Linked DNA regions of Alligator mississippiensis. The protein of the gene in region 2 binds, or shares a complex with, the protein of the main gene of each other region. Links are inferred from orthologs where the notes say so. Each region holds a gene or a part of one and is shown on either strand. Other genes may lie near its edges. The genes, in order: RASSF5, STK3 and SAV1.

Region 1 (7,532 bases), on a different chromosome or scaffold from region 2:
CTACTGATGTGATGAGACTAGAATTGTGCAGGTCAGAGTGGCACTGAATATCTCATTTAATTTATACCTCTTGCTGTTAACAGATTATGGCACTATGGGCTTTTAACATGGATCCAGCATTTAACTGCAGTCTCGCCAGTTCATGCCAAACTCCACAATGGGAGACAGAGATACGGAGAAATCAAACTTACTCTCCAGTGTAAGAGATGAAAGCAATCGTCTCTTTGCATGATTTTCCTCTGACTTAAACTAGGAGCATTTCTGCTGAAGTCAGTGAAGTTGCACCAGTTTTATGCTAGTGCACATATGAGAAAAGCTGATCCAGTGGTTGGGAGTGCTAGTCTGTGACCCAAATTCATCTCCCTGCTTTAGTACAGGTGTCGTATGTGACCTTGGGCCGGTCACTTAACTTTTCTGTGCCTCAGTTCCCAATCTACCCAGTGGAGTAATAGCAGTGCCCGGTGCACATGAAAGATTGTGAAGCGTTCGGGTACTGCGGTAATGGGGTCCAGCGCTATAGATAGTGTTACGGACAAAGAACTGCTCTGTGCATCAGGAATCCTAGTTTAGGGAAGGAAGAATCCTCTCTCGGTTGGATTCAGGAGTGGAAGTTGGCTGTTTTTCTGTTCCTACTCTTCATCTGATCTTGGCCGGATCACTACTACTTTGTGCCTTTCTCTCCTGATTTATAAACGAGCCTAGGCTTCTCGGGCATGCAGCAGCCTGACGCTCAAAGGCTTTATAGTTTCAGGTCTGCAAAGAATATAGAGCTGTGTTTTAAGACCGCTGTTGCCCTTTGTGCTGCCTTTTTATAATCTCTCCTCTCAGTGCAAAAGGCATATAAAAATGAGTTTTCCAAAGCAGAGATTGCAGGGACGTCTGAGCTGGCAGAATCCTTTTGCTACTCAGATTTTTGATTTCCCAAAAGGCTTGTTTGAGGTATGCATATCAGGTGGTTAGACCTGTACCTCCTTGAGGTGTTCCGCTTCCTTAGAAGGCAAGCCACGTTTGTGAGAAGAAAATATTCCAGGTTGCCCACTTCACGTGATCCCTCTGTGTAGCTCTACAGTGCTAGTATAATTGGAGTGGGAAAATTTAATTAGTTCCAGCTAGCTTTTGGGGCCTAGTCAACCCTCCGACTATGTAGCAGCAGAGCTATTTTGGTTGGGAGCGTGAATTTGTCCCTGTGTAGTTACACCAGTAGAACTCCAACTGCGGGGATATTGGTATAAAGGCGCTGTATAGCAATAAAATGTATTCCCCGTCCTCTATGGGAAATAAGGTTACAGTCATATAAATGCACTTCTACCTCTGTAACGGCATCCACACTATTGGAGCGGATCCATCTGAGCTATGGCAGCCTAGTTTAAAGCAAGTACAAGCCTTGTGCACAGACAAAGCGGGTGTGTTGAAGCAGAGAACGGGTTGCTGTCTTCTGAGGGTGCCAGGTACCGTGACTGCTGGTTTTCCAAGCAGAAAAGGCTAGAGAGCAGCTGGAGCAGTCTATTGGAATTTCCTATAGGAAACTTTTGCTCAGTTGTTTGCACCCAGTGTCCAGGTAAAATGCAGTAGGAACCCCTTTCTTAATGCCAAGCACTTCTCTGGTACCTCCGACTCAGAGGCTTGCCCTCTGCGCTGATTGCCTAATGCCTCCAGGCACCAGGAGATAGGAAGGTGGGGTTATTCCCCGTTGTGAAGGCTGAAATGCTCATGCCATCACCTGACTCCAGGCAATGGGGTAGAGGCGTTCAGAAGTGCTAGGTCTCCAAATAAGGGAGCAGGAATTGGTAATATTGCATTTATTGTATATGGAAATGGAGGCACCTAGGATCAGTTTGTCCCTACGCTTGAGGTCAGAGTTTATAACTGGGGAAAGTTTGTGCCTTCCAGCTAGACTCAGCCCGGTTAGAAACAAGACTTGGAGAAAACTGCAATGACCCCAAAGGCTCAGGAGTTGGAGCAGACAGGGCAGACGGTCCTCTCCGCGGTTCTTGTTCACCCACCTCTAACACTCATAGTTGTTTTAAAAAGAGCCGGGTGAGGCTTGGCCTTTCTTTTTGGCTTTGTGATTGTAAGTCTGCACCCAATAGAACGGCTGTGGGGATATTTTAAAATTCAAATGGAAGCTTTTAAAAAATAAAATAAACATAATCTGGCACTGTTGGCAAATACTAGCAAGTGCTAGCGCCTGGAAGACAGCAATGGGAAATGAGAGAGTTTGTTTTCACTTGCCTCCCACCATGTGCCACATGAAAGTAAAAGGCAGCAGTGAAACTTTCAGACGTTGGAGGCAGGCAGCTTTATAAGGGGTTTGGTAGTTTGGTTTTCCCTAGCCACTAAGTTTGCAAATGTGCAGTTCCCAATAAGTTCAGCGAGATGTGGTGATGCCCGTGACCTGTGGATCCCCAGCCCCTAAGTGCCGGGAATAAGAATTTAGACTCTCCAAAGTTTGAAGTGGTTGGGCAGCCGTGAAAATATCTTTGTTTTCACAGTCTCCAAATCTTACTTGCAAGAAAAGGAAGGAAAAGTGTTTAAGTGGGTCATTGCTTTCTATAGTATCGTGGAGCACGTGCCATGGAGCAGACCCCAGTCCTCTTGACAGTGGACACAGAGCTCAACGTCAGTCTGTACCTGGAGGAACTTGGCACAGGGGCGTAGACTCAGGGATGCTGAGAGAGGGCTGAGTGTGCGGGAACAAACCCTCCACCTGGCGTGCAGTGCTGAACCTGCAGCAATTGCTCTGTGACCAAACACACTTAAGATACAGAACCGCATAACTTACTTCCCAAGGAAGGGCAGGACTGACTGTTGTGATCAGTCTGACGCAGACACCCAAAGCTTCCTTTCAAACAGTCCTTTGGCCTCTGCCATGGCTTTGGGGAAAGTGGTTTGTTACTAAGCCAATTCCTATTACAGGCAGCCGGTCTTCACCAGCTTGGGTGGAACCGTTGAATATTTAGGCAGCAGGTTAAGATTTCCAAAGCGCCCCTAAGGCGAGATTCCCAAAGGCATTCGGGTGTGCTGGAAACCCCCCTACCTCCCTTTACACAGCTGGTGCCAAGCCGTATTTTCAGAAGGGACTAAGGCAGGGAGGATGCTGTGGTGCACTTGCACCCTTTTGATCCTGCTCTACCCAAAGTTTAAAACCAATTGCCTGGCAGAGGCAGCAGCATTTCTAGTCAAGCAGCAGTGAGGGAGCCAATGGACTTCATTCAGATTACCCGATGACGTCTCAACTTTGTTCCATGGGTGTTCACGACCTGCTCTCCTTTCTAAGGCTCTGGTTGTTGCACGAACGCAGCGAGCTTTTCTTCGGCAAGGCTGCGGTTTGTGAGCTGCTCCTGCCAGGGTAGCTCCTCTTTTGCAGCCTGCGGACCGGTCCTAACGCGTTCCCGTAGGAATTGCAGTTGTGTTGGGCCCGTAGTTATGCTACACTATGGTGTTGAAAAGCGGTATGGGAGAAAGAAGCCTCCTGGCCGCTGGATGACCTTGCAAGAAAGGAAAGAAATAAAACTCGCACTAGCGAGCAAAAAGACACGGAAGGGAGAATGAAAATACCAGCTGCAACTGCTGCAGTTACTAATGAGAGTGCAAGTGCGTGAACTTAGCCAGCAAAACTAAAATGAACATCTTGGAGAGAGAGAGAGAGAAGAGTAGGTATGAAACGGGGAAGGGACACGCACACGCAAGTATAAATGCAGGAAGGAGTTGGGAGACATGTCCGGCAAGGAGACGGAGGGGAGAGTCTCCTGTCAAGGGCAAGCTCCACCAAGTTGAACCGATTGCTAATTAGACCCACTGAGCGCTGTCCAAGGATAATAAACCCTTCTGAGCTTTCATGGTTGAACATGGATCCAAGCTGTGCTTTCTGCGTTGCCTTCAGGACCTGGAAGATGGCTCGCAACCAGCAGCCTGGACATCAAAAGCGACATCAACCCCTTCCTGCTGAGAAAAGAAAACCCTCCGCTCACGGCAGAACAACCCTCCGGTACACTTCTGTCCTGGCATCCGTCTGAAACCGAATCGCCCGGCCTAGCACCCAGCTTCTTCTGACCTCGAGAAAAATAGGGGCGGTGTTGGAGGGGACGATGCCCCTCAGCGTAGGCACCCCCTTCTCGCAATCCTGGGTTTGCCCGGGGATGGAGACACGGGGGAGACCTCCCTCCCCTTTCCTCGAGGAGTTGGGCTGGAAGCAATGAGGCAGGATCAGCCCCTACACTCGGCCCGAGCCCGCACTGAGCTGGCACCCGGAGCTGCCCCAGGGCCCGCGGCCTGTGTCTGTGCGCCCCTGAGCCGGGTCGGGGCAGGAGCCTCTGCGCCAACAGGTGCGGGGCGCCCGGCCGGTGCGGGGGCGGGCACGGCCAGCAGCGCAGCCTCTGGGGGGGGAAGGAGAGGAGGCCGAGCCGAGCCCTGCCCAGCCTTGGCTCTCCAGGGGCGGGCGCCCGGCGCGTCTCCTCCCCCGGCCGCGGCTCCGGCTCCAGCTCCAGCTCCTCCCGCTCGTGCGGTGCGGTGCGGTGCGGTGCGCGGTGCTGCATGGCGCTGGTGGGGCAGCTGCCCCGCGCGCTGCGCCTGGACGCGGAGCCCGAGGCGAGGAAGCGGCGCCGCGCCAAGCGCGAGCCCCCGCGCGCCCGCCGCCTGCCGCCGCCGCCGCTGCTGCCGGGGGACGGGGACGGGGACGGGGACGAGGAGGACGGCGATGCGGGGAAGCCCCCGGCCCTGCCCCAGCGCCTGCGCCGGGCCGCCCCGCGCCTGCTGCCCGACGTGCGCACCATCTTCCAGCAGCCGCGGGACCCGCGCGTCCCGCCCGAGCGCGGCCACGGACACCGCTTCCAGCCCGCCGCGCCCCGCCTCGCATGGTGCGACCTGTGCGGCGGCGCCGTGCGGCCCCCGGCCCTGCGCTGCGCCAGTGAGTGCCTCGCTCCCCACCTGCCCGCCTCCCTCCTCACCCTGCCTGCTCCCGCCCTCCCTGCCTCCCTGCCCAGCCGGGGTTGCGTGGGGAGCCCTGCCTGCACAGGGGCGGACTCCCCCTGACTGGGTTTCCTTTCTCCTCCTCGCCTGCCCTGTGCACGGGGCGGGGGGAGCCCCTGCCCTGTCCTGTCCCGCAGCTCTGCCTCATTGCGGGTTGGGTTTTTCCCCCCTGCGCTGCCTCAGACCGTCCCCGGCTGCGTGTCCCGGGAGCTGCCCCAGCCAGGAATAGACCCCCTCCGCCTAGACTGGGCTTCTTCTTTCCTCCTTGCCTGACCTCTCTCCCCAGCTGTGCACGGTGCGGGTGGGAGCCAGGGACTGACTAGAGGGGAAGCCTGCCCCTGTCCTGCCTCCTTGCTTGCAGGAGTTGTCCCAGCAAGGGGTAGATAGATGCCCTCTGCCTCACTGCGGTTTGGTTTTCCCTCAGTGCTGCCTCAGACCGTCCCCAGCTGCATGCCCCCGTCAGCCAGTGATTGACTGGAGGGGAAAGCTAACCCCTGCCAACAGGAGCTGCCCCAGCGAGGGCTAGATGCCCTCCGTCTGATTGACCTTTTGGTTTTCCCTCAGTGCTGCTCAGACCGTCCCCAGCTGCACGCCCCAGGAGCTGGGGACTGACTGGAGGGGAAGCTAGCCCCTGCCTGCAGGAGCTGCCCCAGCGAGGGCTAGATGCCCTCCGTCTGATTGACCTTTTGGTTTTCCCTCAGTGCTGCTCAGACCGTCCCCAGCTGCACGCCCCAGGAGCCGGGGACTGACTGGAGGGAAGGCGGCCCCTGGCTCGCGTCCCTGCCTGCAGGAGTTTCCCCAGCCAGGAGCAGACTACCTCCGCCTGTCTGGGATTTTTCCCCTGGCGGCTGACTCCGCCGTCCCCAGCTACACAGCGCGGTCCAGGAGCGCGCCTGGCTCCTCCCTGTGCCCCCGCCGTGTCCTCACCTGGCACTCGGGATGTTTTGCAGGTTTAGCTTCTGGAGCAGCCGCCAGGGTTTTTTTGCACCGACTAGGTGGATGCGGGATGTCATTTGAAGGGGTGTGGGGTGGGATCCAGCGTGGCAGTATCCGTTTAGTCGTGTGGCTGCGAAGGGCATTTGGAGAACAATTAGTCGGGTCCCTTCGCCGAGCCTGGCAGCAAAGATGCTCGTCACGCTCTGCGAATCTGTGGCAGCAATGAGCTTGCAGGGGTCGTTTTGGTCACTACCGTATTAAGGTACCATCTGGCGTTTTGGCTGGAGAAAAGAAAAATGGCGATTCTGGGAGGGCTGGTGACATGTCATAACAGTCGGTGTTGTGAAGCACGGCAAGCAGAAGTGAGGAACAAAGCCATGGGGGTCCTGGTGGGAATGAGCAGTAACTTTACCCACTATCTGTCAAAGACTTTATGGGAAATCTTCGTGCAGGAGGTCAGTGTTGTTATGCCCTTTATACAGGTGGGGAAACTGAGGCACGAGGCGATGAAGCAACATGCCCAAGGTCAGCAGACCGGTAGCAGAGCTGGGAACAGACTTCTTCTTCCTGGGTCCCAGTGTATTGTGCTCTTTACCAAGCCATCCCGATAGCTGCACTTGCTGGCCCCTAGAAGAGTAGTGCCCCTGCATGGTGCACGTGTTACTGCCAGCATATCCCTGTCATATCGGGAGGGGTTTTTTTTCTCTCCGTAGTCTCAAGGAAATCTTGGAAATGTTACACGTGGGGGGGATTTGATTGAACTTAACGATCGTGGTGGTACGCTAGAAGCGCAGATGGGAACATGCATGGCTGATTTTTGTAGGTATGAAAACTTAATGGTGGATAGAGTTGCATTTTCTTGTGAGCCGTGCTGCTGCCAAACTGCTCATTCTTTCCCTTTGTGTGCGGCTGATAAATAGACCTTGGTTTTCACTGGTGTTTTAACCTTCACCCTGCGTCTACTTGTTGAAGCAGCTGGAAATGACTGTTTCTGATTGCAACTTCCATGTGACTACTGTACTAATGGTTACAAGAGTAGAGAAGTCAGTAATTAAATTGTTCCTCCCCAAAGACAGGACTGATGACTTGAGCTGGACTGGATCTGTATTTTATTTCTCAACAGCTCCCCATTTGCACGGCGACTTCTCTCTGTCCCCTCTGTGTTCATGGTTAGCTGTTCACTTTCCGAGCCTGCCTTGTGCAGCATGTCGAACATCGTAAAGCGCATCTAATCCTGATGTGCTTGCATATAATTAAGGGCTTCTCATCGTAAAATGTGTCTGGCAGGGGACGCGTGCTTCAGAGGTTATGCCAACGCTGCAGCACAGTGTGTGCTCGGGCTCCACATGTGGATCTAGATTCGCTGTACACTCAATATTGATGAGGGGAAAGAGTTTCTGTTCTTTAAATTCACTCTGCAGGTTGCTCTGTGTGCTGAATTGCTTACGGATGCATTTCCCAGCTCTAACGAAAGAAGCAGAGATAAGGCACCTTTTTAGCTGAAGCAGCGAATGAAATGGGAACGTTTCTTCTGAGCTAAAACGTAGGTCCATTTTATTACCCATCTGCTGCAGTTTGGAAAAGGAGGTTTCATGGGAGTCTAATCAGGTTGTTTTTTTTTCCTCCTG
Region 2 (7,365 bases):
TAGTTTTTTCCACTTTTCTTTTAGACAACTGTCTGTTCTAGTATTAGCTGCAATCTGGTAAATGACATGACTAAGGCAGAACAAAGGTAATTTATTCATTAATGGTATGAGACCATCAAATGTACACAAACTTATTTAGTGTGTTTAATTCTGCGTAGTTACTGTTACAAGGAACTGTGCCTTGCAGTTCATGTTTGCTTCCCAGGTTACCATTTGGCACTTGTACGTGCTTGCAAATGAAGTGCTGTAGTCAAGCATGTGATTTACAGGATGTAAGAGATAATGCTGTTTGGGCTAACTTTCAAAGTAAGTTGGGCACCTAAATTCAAAACCATGTGGTTTTGAAAATTCTGTTTGGCCAGGGGCAGGAAATGTAGTTTGAGGCAGGGGCTTATTAGTAGCCAAGAGCTATCTTGAGGTAGGAGAGATATATGTTTTCCTGTCCCAGGTCATAGAAAGCAGTAAGAGCTATAAAGCTGTTTCTTCCACACTCAAAAAGCTTAGTGGTAGTTTGTGTAGATGTGCCTGAGCTAGGTTTAAACTTTACTAATGATGACAGAACTGGCAGCTCCAGAATGCAACACAAGCTATAAGGAGATACTCAGGCAGTTTGTTCTTTGGCTTCCCAGTTGTCACCACCCATGTGAACTAGTTTGAGTACATCTGTACAAACTGCCATCACAACTTTGAGTGGAATATAAGGACACCCCCAATCTTATGTTAATATAAGGAGAGAAATATACACCATAGTGATCTTGATTTAGCAGCTGTGGGACTTCTAATAGAAGCAGCAATTCTTTTGTCAATTATGTGATGTGAGAGCACTAGGCAGTTTGAACGGTTGGTGTCTAGGACCCAGGCCAGGTCTGCAGTACAGGCTTCTGTCAGCACAGCTATGTCAGTCTGCAGTGTGGCCCCTGACCAGCATTACTCTGCTGGCAGAACCTTTTCATGTACACACAGTTAATTATACTGGCAAGACTGCTACCATGTATATCACTTTTTTTTCTCTAAGGGGTGGTTTTGCTATACAAGTAAAAAAATTCTAGCTGTCAGTGTAGCTGTGTCCCTGTTTAAAGCCTGTTGCTGGTACAGTATATTGATGTAGCAATGGGTGTGACAGGTTTGCCATTTTGTAGGCATGTGGGGAAAGAAGTAAACATACCCTGCTCTGCATATGGTGGGATAAATATATTTAACTAGCCAACTGCCCGTCAAGAATGATGAGGGATGGGGGGGAGGGAAGTGGGCAGGAACGGAGCCCCATATGTGCCTACCCCTGGGCCCACTTCCCCTTTCTCAACCCGCCATGGTAGACCCTCCTGTGTCAGGCCTGGGCCCGCTCCTTCCCTCCCCACACTGCTGATACATTGGTCCTGCAGGCGGTGACAATGAAAGTGGGGAGGTGTGGGCTGAGGCCAGCGCTGGTGGCCTCACCCCTGCCCCCCTGCAGCCTCCTGACCCTGCTCCCCCCCACCCCATTGCCACTTCCAAGGAGAAAGGGGGGGAGGCAAGGCCAGCTTTGGTGGCCTTGCCCCCTCTACACTCCATAGTCACTGCCTGCAGGGAGCAGGGCAGGGGGGGCAAGGCCAGTGCTTCTGGCCTCACCCCCCCCCATTCTGTCCACTCCATTGCTGCTGCTGCTTGCAGGCAGCAGGGCAGGAGGGGCAAGACTGGTTGTGCTGGCCTCGCCCCCACTCCATCCCCTGTGTCCCTGCCATTAGGGCAGTGCTCTGCTGTGTCATCACCTCCTGTCCCAATGCTGTATTTGCACTCTTATTGGTTGTTTCAGTCAGCCAATCAGTGCGAATAAAGCATTATGGGCAGACAGACAAAGGCTTTTATATTAAATACTACGATGGTACAACAGAATATGATTAGGCTTTCATAGCATCCTTCAAGAGCCCACTTTGCACAAGTCAGCATTTTCCAATATGAACTGAGCCACACTAATATACTCCAAATACTGGGAAAATTGCATTTCTATCTAAATTGGCTGGCACTGTTTTGTTTACTATATGGGGGTGCGTGTGTATAATTTTTTTTCTTGAAATAGCCTATATTAGAAGCAAGGCAGCAACAACATAAGCTACAGCTTTGAAATGGTAAAGATATCTGACTTGACTGGACTTCTGCAGAAACTTGTTTAACAGTTTGCTCAGGACCACCCAATGATTAGGAGTTGTAATGAAATAAGTGAAGGTCAGTAAGGGTGGGATGTAGAGGGAAACTTTGTTTGTGATACACCAAGGTGTTTTACACTAATCATTATTTCAAACTTCAGTGTGAAGCCCCTTTGTGCAGTGAAAGCTCCAGTCCAACTGGTCTATTTTTATATTGCATAATTTAGAAAGGGAATGTGTCTTACAGGAATGTGAATCATCTCCTGCCGACTTCTGATTTTGCCAGTGACTCATGAGACCTTAGAGCTTTTGTTATCTCTTCCACTTATCTTTTGTTAGTCTTATTTAGTTTAATGGAAAAAATACCATTTACTTGCATCCTAGGGGTGTTGTGAGATTTCATTATTAGTGCCAGCAAGGTTTAATCTAGTCCAGGTTCTGAATCCAACAATATCATTTACCCTGAAAGTTTCCAATCAGGTTCAAACACTGTAACAAGCCGAGTGCAGATTCGCCTGAATGCGGCACCGATTCCCATGCATACTTTTTTCCTAATTCAACCTTCCCTTGGGGAAGGTATGTGGAAGGTGAAGTGGACACCTGTGCTTGCTTTAATTTTTTGGATTGCTCTAGCGGGCCAATCTGTCTCAAGACAGAGTATAGAGCACCTAAGGCTAGAGGTGCACCGATACATCAGTCCCAGGTCAGATTGGCACTGAGATAGGGAAAATTGCAAGTAATGGGAATTGGCCTTTTTTGCCTGATGTGGCAGATTTTAAATGCCACGTGCATATGCACAGTTGCAGCATGCACATGAGCAGGAGCACAGCCCGGCAGCTTGGAAAGCAGCATTGGTTGGTAAGCTTGTTGTGGGGGAAGGGCACATTGAGGTCCCCCAGTGAGGGAGTGGAGCTGGGGCAGGAACAGACACTGCCCAGTTGGGGCAGGGTGCGGGATGAAGCCCTGAGCAGCTGGCCTGGGGAGGATGCTCCTGCCCCTGCATGCACCCCAGGAGGCACACACCATCTGTGTGCCCCTGGATCTGCATGTGGGGCAAGGGGTGGGTTGATGCTGCAGGCTGGGGCAGTACTGGGCTCTTCCCAGTAAGGGGCCAGGCTGCGCTAGGAGCAGGGGCTATGGCGAATTCTGGGGTGGCTGCAGGTCTCCCTGTAGCTCCCCTTAGCGCCACTGCTGCCCGCCCCAAGCGCAGCCCGGCCCAGCCCCTGCCAGGAAGAGCCTGGCACTGCCCTGGCTACAGCCCGCCCTCCCCTGTGCAGATCTGGGGGCACCCCACCATGCCATCCTGGGGTGCGCACAGCACCGGGAGCCACCCTTCTCTACCCTGGATAAGCTGCTCGTGGCTCCATCCTGTGCCCCGCACCACGCCGGCTGTGCAGTGCCTACCCTGCCCCACTCCCCCCGCACCGCAGGGGCCTTGACCTGCCCCCGCCCCCCAACAGCCGTACCAGGCAGCCGGCGCTCTCCAAGCTGCCGGCCTGCACGTTCGAATCAGACTGACGTGGGTCGATATGGCACCCAAAAAATCTCCATGGGTGCACCCCTACCTACGGCTCCTCCGGGAACCTGGAAACGGCACAAAGCGGTGGTGGAGAAAGGGCCCAGACCACCAGACGTGCAGGTGTCCTGACACGCAAGCCACACACCTGTGCTTCCTGCCCGCATGCAGCAGCGGTGACTGGCCGGGGCAGCGGGAGCCGGGCCTGGAAGCCCCCTCGGCAGACAGGGCCGCGCCAGGAGCCCTTTGCCTCGGTGCTGAACGGCTGCGCCCAGGCAATGCACGCTGGAGCCGCCCCGCCCGAGCTCGGGGATGGCGAGGTCGTGCCCGTCACGTGCAGGCGACGCGAGCCGGGCCAGAGGCGAGAACCCATGCAGGAAGCGACTTCCTGTGGGGACTCCATGTCCCAGCGTGCCCCGCGGCGGCCCAGGCGGAGCGGGGCACGCTGGGAACGCGTTGGCTGCGCCCCGAGCCCCGCATTCGCCTGCTCCTGGGGGAAGGCGTTTGTTCTCGCTTCCGCCTCCTGGGTCCTTAAAGTCAAACAATTGACGCCGGTGGGACCCAATCCACTTCTTCCGCCCTGTCCCCTCGGGGCCAATGAGAGGAGGGAGCGGGTGGGGCGGGCTTTCAGCGACCAGCAGTCGGGCTGGCGCCAGCCGCGTTTGTCTGAGAGCGGCGCCCGCGGGGGAGGCGCGAGTCCCACTTAAAGGGCCAGCGCCGCCGCGAAGTTGTGCGGAGTTGGCGGGGCGGGTGTGGCTACACCCCAGGCCGCTTGCACCATGGAGCCGGCAGCGCCCAAGAGGTGAGGGCCTGGTCGGGGCCCCGAGGGGAGGGGACGGGGCGGCGGCGGCGGCGGTTGGGGCTAGGCCGCGGGCCGGGCCGGGCCGGGGGCAGCCCAGCCAGAGCTGAGCCGGCGGCGGGTGCGGCGGCAGCAGCTCCCCTGGGCCGGGCCGGCCCGGCCCGGCCTTGAGGCTGAGGGGTTTTAAACTCCTGCAAAGCCTCCTGTTGGCCGGGCAAGGCCAAGCCGGGCAGCCCTGCAGCGGCGCCCGGGCGGGCCCGTGTCCCGCTAAGGGAGTGCCGGGCTCGGCGGGTTGCTCCCCGCTTCCCTCTGCTGAGAGGGGCGTTAAGCTTTCCCCAGGCCGGGGACTCTGGGCTGTGCCAGCGCTCCTGCTGGGACCTGCGGCTCCTGGCTGCGGGGGCTTGCCCCTCTGCTCCGGGGCAGACGCATCGCCAGACGTGGGGTCAGTTTCACCCAGGGTCAGGCTGGTGAGAGCGAGGGCCCCTGTAGTGGGGGCTGTGGCGTGCCCTCTTGGTGTTCGTTGTCAATATTTTAGGGAAGCAGGCCCCTGGCTGCCCTGCTTCACCTGTGGCAGGTTGGGGTGTTAGGTCTGTGTTGTCAGGGTTGAGGGTAGTCTTGTGACTGTAGATTATGGTTGTGTGAGAAGGTTTGGATACAGATGATCCTACCTCGGGCAGGGGGTTGGACTAGATCAGCAACTGGTGGGTTGTGACCCAAAAGTGGCTCGCAAGAAAATACAAAAAGGTTGGAACAAACTTTTAAAGATGAATCAACACACTTAAAACATGGATTCTCCTTTTTAAAGGAGAAAAATGTGGGAAAAACATGGCTTTTCCCTTGCAGGCTGTCAGAGCCTGCAAAGGGCTGCTTGAGGCCTTCCATGCCCCACATCCACTCCCTGCCCCATACACCCACCCCCTGCCCCACACACTGGTGGGCAGGGGGCACTGTGTTGGGACTGGCTATCCATGTTTACAAGTGGGTCCTGGTACAGGAAAGGTTGACAAGCACAGGCCTAGACAGCCTCTGGAGGTCCCTTCCAGCCCTATGTGAGTCAGGGAGGTAAAATCAAGAATGGCTTTCAATAAGCACACTTCACCTTTTTGTTTAATTTTTTTTTCTTTGCCTGTGTCATTTTGAGCCTTTACAGTTTGTGTCTTCAAGCATGTCTCTAACTATGAACACAAGAAACTTTGTAATGAATCTTCATGTAATAATATGAATTCAAGAGTGGCTGGTGTAAATATAATGCCAAGGTCTTCTCTAAACGCGTAGTAGTATTGCTTTGGCTGTATTGGTGTAAAGTGGCACAATCCTGCCTTGATACAGATATAGCTATAAACACGCTTATATCATCTGCATAACATATTGCTGTTTCGGAAGAGGGAATAAGCTATATTGGGGTAGAGCAGTTCTATAACTGACTCTTAATTTTCTATAAAAATAGCTATAGAAGTACAAAAACTGTTTGTGGGCCAGGCTTCATGTCATGAGGCTCTCAATCAAATTTTGAGTTGGTAATACTGGCCTTGCCTCCCCCCACTTTCTCCTTGGAAGTGGTGATGGCTGCTGAGTCCTGGCTTAAATTTATGGTTGGACCTGGCCTAAGGATGTGGGGCATTGGTGGTGTTCTGTGGTGGGGGGCTTTGGCAGTGATTGCTCTCATCATGCCACCATGGAGAGAAAGTGGTGGCCACAAGAAAGCTACCAAGGAGAAAAGTGGCAGTGGGTCCTAGTGCTGGCTCACGTGCCTACCTCCGACCAGAGCTGGGTCATTCCAGTGAGAGTTGCAGGATGGACAGTATCTCTGAATTAAACGTTAGCTGTCTCAAGCTGGATGCCAAATGATAAACACCCCAAGCTGATCGCCTCCTACAGTTTTGGTGTAAGGGCTCACCTGGAGCTTAGCGTGCCTTGTTTTTGGGTTCTACCTAGTACAATAACAGCTATAGTCATGCATTAGTTTCTGTATACACTGCATGGAAATATTTAGGCACTCAATAATGTGATTCACAGGTAGCTCTGCTTAGTGTGCTGGTTTAAAATAATTTATAGGGAATGCTGATGAAAGAATGGGTTGACACTGGCACAGATAAAACCCAGGATTCCCTTGTCCAGGATGAGTATCTGAGCTAGTATGAAAATGGTATGACTCTTCTTCTGGCTGTCTTCTTGGAGAAAAGACTGGCATGGACACCTAAAGCCAGGATAGGTTTTTAAGTGTGAGAATCCCCATGGATATATTGCTGTATTTATTGAACCCATATGTTCCCTTTGCCCATGCGGGCAAGTGGCCTAATCACTAGGTGAGAGAGTTTTGCTTTCTTGATGTTGCAGCACAATGATAATTTAAGTTACCTTATGGCAAGTTCAATTCCTTCAACAGGAAGGAGAACATGCTTCACCTATAGCCTTTTAGCTGAAGCATGGGAGTTGAGAGATGAGGTTCAAATCCCTTCGAGCAGGAGAGTGTGTTTGTTGTTTTTTTTTTTTTTTTTTTTTCCTTCCTTCCCCCCCCCCCATACTCTGGGTGAAGACTGTAGTCATGGATATATTGGATAAAATGAAATCACCACCAGCACCTCTTTCTCTTCCCTTGTTTGTGTGGGATCCAATCCAGTAGGTGTTTGCTGACAATGCTTTTCACTTCAGACCCAATAGGGGGCATAGAAGAATGTTTAGTTTGTAGATCTCTAAAGAGCTTAGGAACCTAGCTTGTCCATCACTGTCAAGACAGAGACAGTTCTGGGTTTTGCAGCAGCAAACATTTAGGTGTTTGGGGAACTATAGTGGTACACACCCATGGGCCTGCAGGCTATGTTGCACTGAAGTGGGAGTTTGGAACTTTGCTTATGTTCTAACTTGTGTGCCACTGCCTCTCTGGTTTGGAAGAATAAAGAACAGTATTGCTCAAGTGCTAAAATAAT
Region 3 (8,038 bases), on a different chromosome or scaffold from region 2:
AAAGAAACATTTCCAGAGCAAAATTACTTTTCATGCATTATTTAAAGAAAACCACTTGCCTGAAGTGTGTCTCCCATGGTTTTGTGACATCCTTTGGAAAAGATCATTGTTGTGTTCATAATATCTATAGTCCTCATGTACACGATCATTTAGTTGACGCCTCCTTTGTCCATCAAAAAAATGATCATAGTAGTAGCGGGCCCCTGTATCTCCATTTTCTGAAACGGAGTTAGCTTCTGTTAGAAATGACTGGGAGGAAGAACCGTATTCCCGAGGAACGTCAGCCAAACTTCTTGCAAGATAGGAAGGTGCAGATAGGCGGTTGCTTTCTCGTCTCATTATTTCATGAGGTGGCCTCTGAACTGGAGTTCTAAGGAAACTCTGGTTTCTGGAAAGTATTCCATCCCCACCAGCAGAGTAGGCAGAAGAACTTGAGTCAGGAAGGCAGATATCTGTTCGTCTTGGAATAGTTGGACCATGACGAATAAATGAAGGCATCAGATCTGTAACAGAACCAACAATACATTGTAAGCAAAAAACTTGATTCTAGCTATAAAATACAACCTAATTACATGGAATATAAACACTTAACTGGGTTGAACTTAAAGCTAAAAACTTTATTCTAAAAATCAGGAAATTCAAAAGCTACAGTTTGGAGAGGAAGATAAGCTTGCTTGTATTGTGCAAATGGATACCATATTAAATAATTATTCTTAAAGCACATATCAAAGAAATTAATATTACCCCATATTTCTCTCTCAAAAAACTAGGAACATCTATTCCATGAAAGAAACTCAAAGTAAATGGTATTAAGCCACATATGCCACACCCAGACAAGAGAAGCCGTGTGGTATATGACACTGCAGACCCATCTGCAGTGCCACACACCGCACGTTCGGGTATTTCCTGTGCTGCTACCTTGCAGCGTGAGGGAGATCCTGGGGTCAAAAAAACCTGCACAGGAAAAAAACCAAAGCAGTGAACATGGCTGCAGCATGTGCCACTCAAAACTAGAGCCTGGCCCATTAGAGCCATGCTCCAGCTCCAGGATCATGGCGGCTGCACAGCTGGCATGCCTAGAGGGCGCATGACATGAGTGGTCCCTGGGGACAAGCAGCAATGGCACAAGGTGTGCCCGCTGCTTCATGTTGCTGGGGAACCAAACATCCGTGCTCATCTGGACATGACCACCATAGAAAATTCATGCGTACTATGGGGATAAGTTATCAAGTTGAAGAAAGATCAGTTTGTGAACTCTTTAGACAAGAGGTTTTTACTCTGTTTTTGTTCTGTGCATAGCAAATTCAAATTTCAGAAATTAGGTGTACTTAACCAAGACCACAGTTCTACTGTGCTTGGTACTGTGCGCATTTATACATTTGTTAGGAAAAAGCACCTGCCCCAAAAAGCTTAGACTCTAAATACCTGAGACAGACCAAAGAGGCATGGAAAGTTTAAGAAACCAACACCACAAAGTCATTTAGCAAGTCAGGTCATCTCTTCACTACCAGGGCCTCGTGAACCTCAATCCAGAATGCCATTACTGCATGCTGATGAAGTGACCTGATGAAGGATGTCTTGCATTCCCAAGCCTCTCTAACTTCATCCCAACCCTGCAGTCGATCCAAGAAGAGAGATCACCCCAAAAAAACCTTGCCCTTTGCATTACAGTACACTGGCAAAGCACTCCTAGTTCATGTTTGTATATGTAGCTATACTGGCGTGTTCCAATACAATAAAACCCTCAAAACAAAAGGATAAATGCACCTTTTTGGCCTATTTAAATGCATCTTTAGAAAGGTCTTTTGATGGCACAGCTATGTTGGGTAGGAATCAACTTTTTCCACTTCGCCTCAACGGCAGAACTAGGAACATAACCCAACTTTCCCACTCCCTGTTCAGTGCCGTACCAGGATATGTGCGTTCACGTATTCTCACTAGCGATGTAAGTGATTTGCCCACAGTCTCACAGAAATCTGTGGTAAAGTCAGGACTGGAACCTGCACTATCACCACGATACAGCCCATCCAAACGCTGTCATTGTGCGCGTGTAAAATCTCAACTTTAATATGACCTGACTGCCTCTGCACTTGACTTTTCTGCCTTAAGGAAGCAAATATAGGATGTGAACAATAACTGCTACTCTGCTAGTGTTATCTATATAATGTTGTCTCCATCAAGTGATATATTATCTTGGTATTATATCACACCATCCACCTGATACTACAACCAGACACAAATTAAACAAAAAAAAAGTTACTATGCCTTCTGGAAACCACCCACCCCACGTGGTAATGAGGCCAATTTGTTCTGCAACTTTTACATTTGTTTTGAATGGCGCGTTAGTAGACAACACGCATAAACCTACGCAAAAGTTATTACACGTGAGAGCGTACAATCAGCTATCGTTACTTCTCAACAAAACAGCCTAAGGGCTGACAGGTTTACAACGCATTTTCCTTTCTCGCCAGGACGTTCAATGACGAAAGCTATGGATGGACACGCTCATCCCTCGAGATGATCCTTGGGACAATAAGACGCGGTCGACCGTTTACTGTGAGGTAAATAGCGACGCACCTGGCGCAGGGGCAGCGAATATTACCCGTCTCCCGTAAGAGTGACAGGGACTTTGCTTCTGCTGGATTGCACCGGGAGATCAGGCTCAAGTGATAGTTACCCTAGGGTGAAAAATGCTCTTTTTGGGCAGTGAAGACAGTCTAAGTCTGAAAAACAAGTGCCGACCCCAGGACAGAGATAGATGAACGATTCCCAGCATCAGAGAAAACTATTAAGGGAACACGGTCCATTTAAACACGTGTTTCTCTACTTCTCTGCCGAGACCTTTTATCCTGCCCGGGGTGGAGCCCGGGGGGGGGGGCATTTCGGGGCAGCCCTTGAGAGGGTCTCGGGGCACCGGGGAGCCCCGCGGGCGGGCGGGCGGGACGGCGACACTCACTGCGGAGCAGCGGGCTGGTCTCCTTCTTCACGTACTTGCCCTGCACCTCGCCCGGCTTCGACAGCTCCGCGCGCGTCTTCTTCCGCGACAGCATCCCCCCTCCCCCTCAGCGCGCCGCGCCCGCACCCGCACCCGCACCCGCACCCGCCCCGGGGCACCCCCGCTCCCGGCCCCGCCGCTGCGCCATGTGCGGAGCCGCCGTCGCCGCCCCCCGCACTCGCCCCTCAGGGGCGCCGCCGCCGCGCAGGGGCTGATGGGATACAGGAAGCCGGGCCGGCCGCCGCCCTGCGCCACAGCGCCGCCCTGCGGCACGGAGGGTCTCCCGTCCCCCCGCAGCCAATGGGAGCCCGTCTTTCCCCTGCTCCCCGCCGCTCCCCTCCCCTTCGCTCCCAGCTAACGGTCGGGGTAGAACGTTGCGGGTGGTGGGTTCGGTGGCGGTTGGAGGAGAGTGGGGGAGGGGCACTTGCTGAGGGAGCCCAGCGCCGCCCCCCCCACCCACGAGGGCTGTGGTTGCACCCCTAGACACTCCCATACACACCCACCCACCCATGAGTGCTGTGGTTGCACCCCTAGACACTCCCATACACATCCACACACCCATGAGGGCAGTGGTTGCACCCCTAGACACTCCCATACACACACACACATCTACACACACCCATGAGGGCTGTGGTTGCACCCCTAGACAGCCCCTTCCCCCACACACACATCCACCCCCCCCAGGCGGGCTGTGGTTGCACCCCTAGACACTCCCCCCCACCCCCCCACCCCCATGAGGGCTGTGGTTGCACCCCTAGACACCCCCACACACACCCATGAAGGCTGTGGTTGCACCCCTAGACACCCCCCACCCCCATGAAGGCTGTGGTTGCACCCCTAGACACCCCCCCACACACCCATGAGGACTGTGGTTGCACCCCTAGACACCCCCCCCACAGACACACACATCTACGAGGGCTGTTGTTGCACCCGTAGACACACACACACATGCACAGGGGGCTGTTGCTCCATCACCGGACACACATCCTTCCCCTGAGGGCTATTGTTCCACCCCTGGAATATCTCCAGGCTGGCAGGAGAGAGGGGAGGCTCGGCCCACGGAGCCAGGCAGGCAGTGGTTCCCCAGGCTTGCAGTGGGCCAGCATTTAAACCAACACGTGCCATTTCATCCTGGACTCCCCCCTGAGACCTTTTAGTGCGGAGAAAGCAAAGAGACCCTGCTCTCCCCTCCAAAATACCCAGCAGGGCAAAGGTTCAGGCCCTGCTGTGCCCAAGTCTCCATCAGCTGCCAGGCCCGACTGCCAGCAATTGTGCAGAAATGACTGAGCACTCTCACTCATTTTGAGCAGAAATTGCATTTGTGTCCAATCCCTGTATGTGCACCCCAACAAAAATGCTTACTTTGACTAACTGATGCTTCTGCAATGAAGAACACTATTATTATGATTATGATTATTTATTTGAAGATCCCTGTTCAGTGGTGCCACCACAGTCTGTTGCAGGTAGAAGGCAGGACAGAGATGCCTCTTATAGACTAACAGAATCACAGAAAACAAGGGTTGAAGGGACCTCAGGAGGTCCGCACGTCTAATCCAACCCCTGCTCCAAGCAGGACCAGCCCCAACTAGATCATCCCAGCCAGGGCTTTGTCCAGCTGGGTTTTGAAAACCTCCAAGAAGAGAGCTCCCACCACCCCTCTGGGTAACCTGTTCTGGTGTTTTACTACCCTCCTGGTGGGAAAATCTTCCTAATATCTGACCTCAATGTCCCTTGCTGCAACTTGAGCCCATTCCTCCTTGTTCTGTATCTGCTCCCACTGGGAACAGCCCAGCTCCATCCTCTTGAACCACCCTTCAGGGATTTGAAGGCTGCTGTTAAATCCCCTCCAAGTCTCCTCTTCTCTAGACTAAATCAGACCAGTTCCCTCAGTCTTTCCTCGCAAGTCATGTCCCCCAGCCCCTGAACCATTTCCATTGCCTCTCCCCGATTTGTCCATATCCTTTCTGTAGTGGGGGCCCACAGCTGGACCCAGGACTCCAGATGTGGCCTCCCCAGTGCTGAATAGAGGGAAAGAATCACCGCCCTTGATCTGCTGGCAATGCTCCTCCCAACGCAGCCCAGGATGCCGCTAGCTTTCTTGGCAACAAGGGCTCACCACTGGCTCATATCCCACTTGTTGACTCATATTCAGCTTGAATCAGTTGTCTCTGTCATGCTGCTGGCCATGTTCTCCAGAAAATATAGCTAGACTGAAACGGTCTGATTTACAATAAACTCCTTCACCGAATTCTCTCTCCAGTGACCCTGCTGTCCTTCCGCAGCTGCACATTTTTTATAGATCAGTCCCCTAGTAGGTAAATACTGGATGTAAATACTAGTCAACAGCAAACACAAGCAGGAGACACTAGCATCAATCCTGGACACTGCAGGCTTAGGTTACATCTGCAAGCTGAATTGAAATCAGCTCTCCAGATGTGCACCTCAAATACTAAGCAGCAGCTGGCAGTTGGACAGCCTGGACAAATGCCACCTGGCACAAAAAAGTATCCTTCCCAATGGACAACTTATCAGCCAAAACAAACTGCCATCAGACTCATGATTGATACGATGTGTTACTAAACATTTTCCAATGAAGCCATGTCCACAATTGCAACACTTCATTTCTAGTGCCTGCAGCGAATGGAGCGGGGGGCTTGGTTGGGTTCCAACAGCACCGATGATATTGTGTCACTCATCCTATAGGCAGAAGCAAAGCAACACAGGAGATTTTCCCATAACGATGGGTGGCACGAACAGCCAGCCAGGGACGTTGTATCTTTGTTCCCCTGGCAGGGCCGTAGGAAGAAAGTCACCTCTGGCTGTCACATGAACTGACACCATGAGAAGAAAATAACAGCTCTTCTTTGAGATCCAGGAGCCTTTCTCCTGCATCCAGCAAGTTCACTGTTCTTCCACAGATAAATGCCTAAAGTTGAAATGGGATCTGAGGCTACGTGGTGGTGGTGATGTTGCTCCCCACTTTTGCACCATAGGCTGATTGGGCACTTTCTCCAGGGAATGAAAGACCCATGCTCCAGCCACCCCTTTCCCAATCTGAAGGAATCTGAAGTCTACATCTCCTGCTTTCTTGTAGGTCCCTAACCACCAGGCTCCCAGCAAAGCAAGGCCAAGTGTGCCCTCCTCACCTCCTGTGTCATGCCAAGCAGCCAAATCCTTTTCTGCCTCTGATCCTATCTACCCATTTAATCAAAATATGGTTTCACAAAATGCACCAGCAGCAATGTGGACAAGAACAGGGGCCAGAACCCAGGACATGTTCCTTCCTAGGGGTGCCAGACTGAGGCTGCTTCTGGACTAAGTACAGACAGTCAAAAAGCCGGAGGCTGAATCAATTCAGTCTTTGCAGGTGAGTCTAAGCTGCGTCGATTAAACCAAGAAGCAAGTGAACAGACATTCACTTTTGATTCAGGAAATGCTGCCGTATGCCTGCAGCGACTCAGGCCAGAAGCCGGGGGCACTAGAGCATGCCTCCCAGCCTGCCAGCCACTGCCAAAGGGGAGGGACTGAAGCGCCAAGGTTTCCTCCCCTCCCTGCTCCAGTGGAGGGGACGTGGCCAGGTCCCAGCCCTGGGCTAGCATGCTGGAGGGTGGGGGTTTAAATACTCTCCCTAGACCACATCAGACCCCAACCCTGGTCTGCCTGGGAAGGGGGCAGGCAGCGCCTGCCAGGCTTCTGCCCTCTCCCGCCCCCCTCTCGAGGCTGCCAGGCTGAGGAGAAGGTGGATGGGGGAAAAGGTAGTGGCACTAAATTCATAAAAGTTTGAACAAGAATAGTTTTCTCTCTGAACTGAGCACGTATTGAACGCAGCAATTTGCAACTTCAAGCACACAAGAAGCAACCACCCAAAATCTTTGCCTATGCTAAAATGCAGCCCAGGAAAACACAGGGTGAGCACACACAACTTAGTCTACCTTATAATGTAAACCAAGAAGGCAAGAGAAAGCCTTGCATAAATCTTACGTAATCCCAAGTGTCTCCTTACAGCCAGGTATTCAAAAAGTCCTTCTTGGGGAATCGGCAGGTGGTCTTAGGTGTCGGAGCAGAGATCTCACAGGCCTCATCTCTACTTGGGTTTCTACAGGCACACTTTCACCCCTTTGGGTGCCTTGACACTAGTGTGCTTGTTGTCACCTATAGCACCTTTGGCAGGTCAGGACTCTCACGCATTCAGTGTCTTTTGTCTCTGCTTAGGTATTCCTGTCTCCCACCTTTTACTGGTTCTGTTTTATAATGTAAATGTAGCTCTCTGCTTTTTTTGGTCACACCAGCCCAAGCAGTCCCTCTCCTGTTCCCTTAGCTCCATCTCCAGCACACATGTGACTATTGTTTTACTTTGCCAACACTTCCCACCTCTCAGTCTGGTTGGCGGGGCTTGGCCTTATGTTCACAGGTGGCAGGGGACTAGTCCCTCCAGCCCCCCTAGACCTCATATGGGTTTGCCTGGGGGGCAGTCCCTCTCAGGCTGTTGCCCACCTGCACCAGCAGAGATCAGGGGGCACGGGGAGCATACTGAGCTGAGGAAGTGGGGATTAAAGCCCCTCTGAGACCCCAGCTGGGGCAGTCCCTCTCAGGCTGTTGCCTCCCCATGCCCCCACCCCCCCTACTCCAGCAGGAAAAAGTCTGATGGGGCTGCCCCCTTCCCCAGGCAGACCCAGCTGCAGTCGCCAGCTGGGCTTCCCACCCTCACCCCCTTGTTGGCCAGCCCTCACTGCTCTGGCTGGGGAGCAGAGGGGCAGGGCCAACAGCAACTGACAGCACAGCACAGCCCAGCTCAGGGCTGCAAAGCATGTTGGGATGTCAGGGGACTGTGATTTAACTTGAACCAGGAAGGGGTCTGGGACAGAAGTTTCATAAACCAGCTTGACCTAAATTAGTTAAGTCCGATATTTATTACGTTCAACCAGGTTTATCTTAACCCAGTTTTAGCCATTTTGAAAGTGGTTTATGTGCACTTCTGTTCTGTTAAAGGCTTAGAACAGTTTCTGATCACTTAAACCACTATGTGCAACTTCTGTCCCTAGT

The links.
Region 1: the proteins of STK3 (region 2) and RASSF5 are in contact, whole or in part, in a crystal structure (PDB 4LGD), measured with the Homo sapiens proteins. The link is inferred for Alligator mississippiensis from reciprocal best matches to the Homo sapiens genes STK3 and RASSF5. Residues at the interface, in NP_006272.2 of Homo sapiens: Phe437, Phe439, Leu440, Leu445, Leu448, Gln449, Arg451, Leu452, Leu455, Asp456, Met458, Met459, Glu462, Ile463, Leu466, Arg467, Tyr470, Lys473, Arg474, Pro476, Ile477, Leu478, Ala480, Met481, Lys484, Gln488; in NP_872604.1 of Homo sapiens: Trp369, Asp370, Ala371, Phe372, Ile374, Leu377, Gln378, Phe380, Leu381, Leu384, Glu385, Glu387, Glu388, Lys391, Ile392, Val395, Gln396, Lys398, Tyr399, Phe402, Arg403, Lys405, Leu406, Ala409, Leu410, Ser413.
Region 3: the proteins of STK3 (region 2) and SAV1 are in contact, whole or in part, in a crystal structure (PDB 6AO5), measured with the Homo sapiens proteins. The link is inferred for Alligator mississippiensis from reciprocal best matches to the Homo sapiens genes STK3 and SAV1. Residues at the interface, in NP_006272.2 of Homo sapiens: Trp429, Lys430, Val431, Pro432, Gln433, Gly435, Phe437, Phe439, Leu440, Lys441, Asn442, Leu443, Ser444, Leu445, Leu448, Gln449, Arg451, Leu452, Leu455, Asp456, Met458, Met459, Glu462, Ile463, Leu466, Arg467, Arg469, Tyr470, Ala472, Lys473; in NP_068590.1 of Homo sapiens: Tyr311, Ala312, Arg313, Ala314, Pro315, Asp319, Trp324, Glu325, Phe327, Gln328, Leu329, Leu332, Asp333, Gln336, Leu339, Lys340, Leu342, Phe343, Glu346, Leu347, Ile350, Val351, Met353, Tyr354, Ala356, Tyr357, Arg358, Ala360, Leu361, Leu362.

What each region holds. Positions count from the first base shown.
Region 1 is NC_081837.1:41,643,684-41,651,215, forward strand, and holds the start of RASSF5 (ras association domain-containing protein 5), read left to right. Parts: upstream 1-4,518; 5' UTR 4,519-4,533; coding exon 4,534-4,906; intron 4,907-7,532. UniProt on the Homo sapiens protein: Potential tumor suppressor. Seems to be involved in lymphocyte adhesion by linking RAP1A activation upon T-cell receptor or chemokine stimulation to integrin activation.
Region 2 is NC_081826.1:40,044,042-40,051,406, forward strand, and holds the start of STK3 (serine/threonine-protein kinase 3), read left to right. Parts: upstream 1-4,272; 5' UTR 4,273-4,418; coding exon 4,419-4,441; intron 4,442-7,365. UniProt on the Homo sapiens protein: Stress-activated, pro-apoptotic kinase which, following caspase-cleavage, enters the nucleus and induces chromatin condensation followed by internucleosomal DNA fragmentation.
Region 3 is NC_081825.1:298,447,609-298,455,646, forward strand, and holds the start of SAV1 (protein salvador homolog 1), read right to left. Parts: upstream 3,082-8,038; 5' UTR 3,051-3,081; coding exon 2,957-3,050; intron 2,679-2,956; exon of another isoform or gene 2,578-2,678; intron 504-2,577; coding exon 60-503; intron 1-59. UniProt on the Homo sapiens protein: Regulator of STK3/MST2 and STK4/MST1 in the Hippo signaling pathway which plays a pivotal role in organ size control and tumor suppression by restricting proliferation and promoting apoptosis.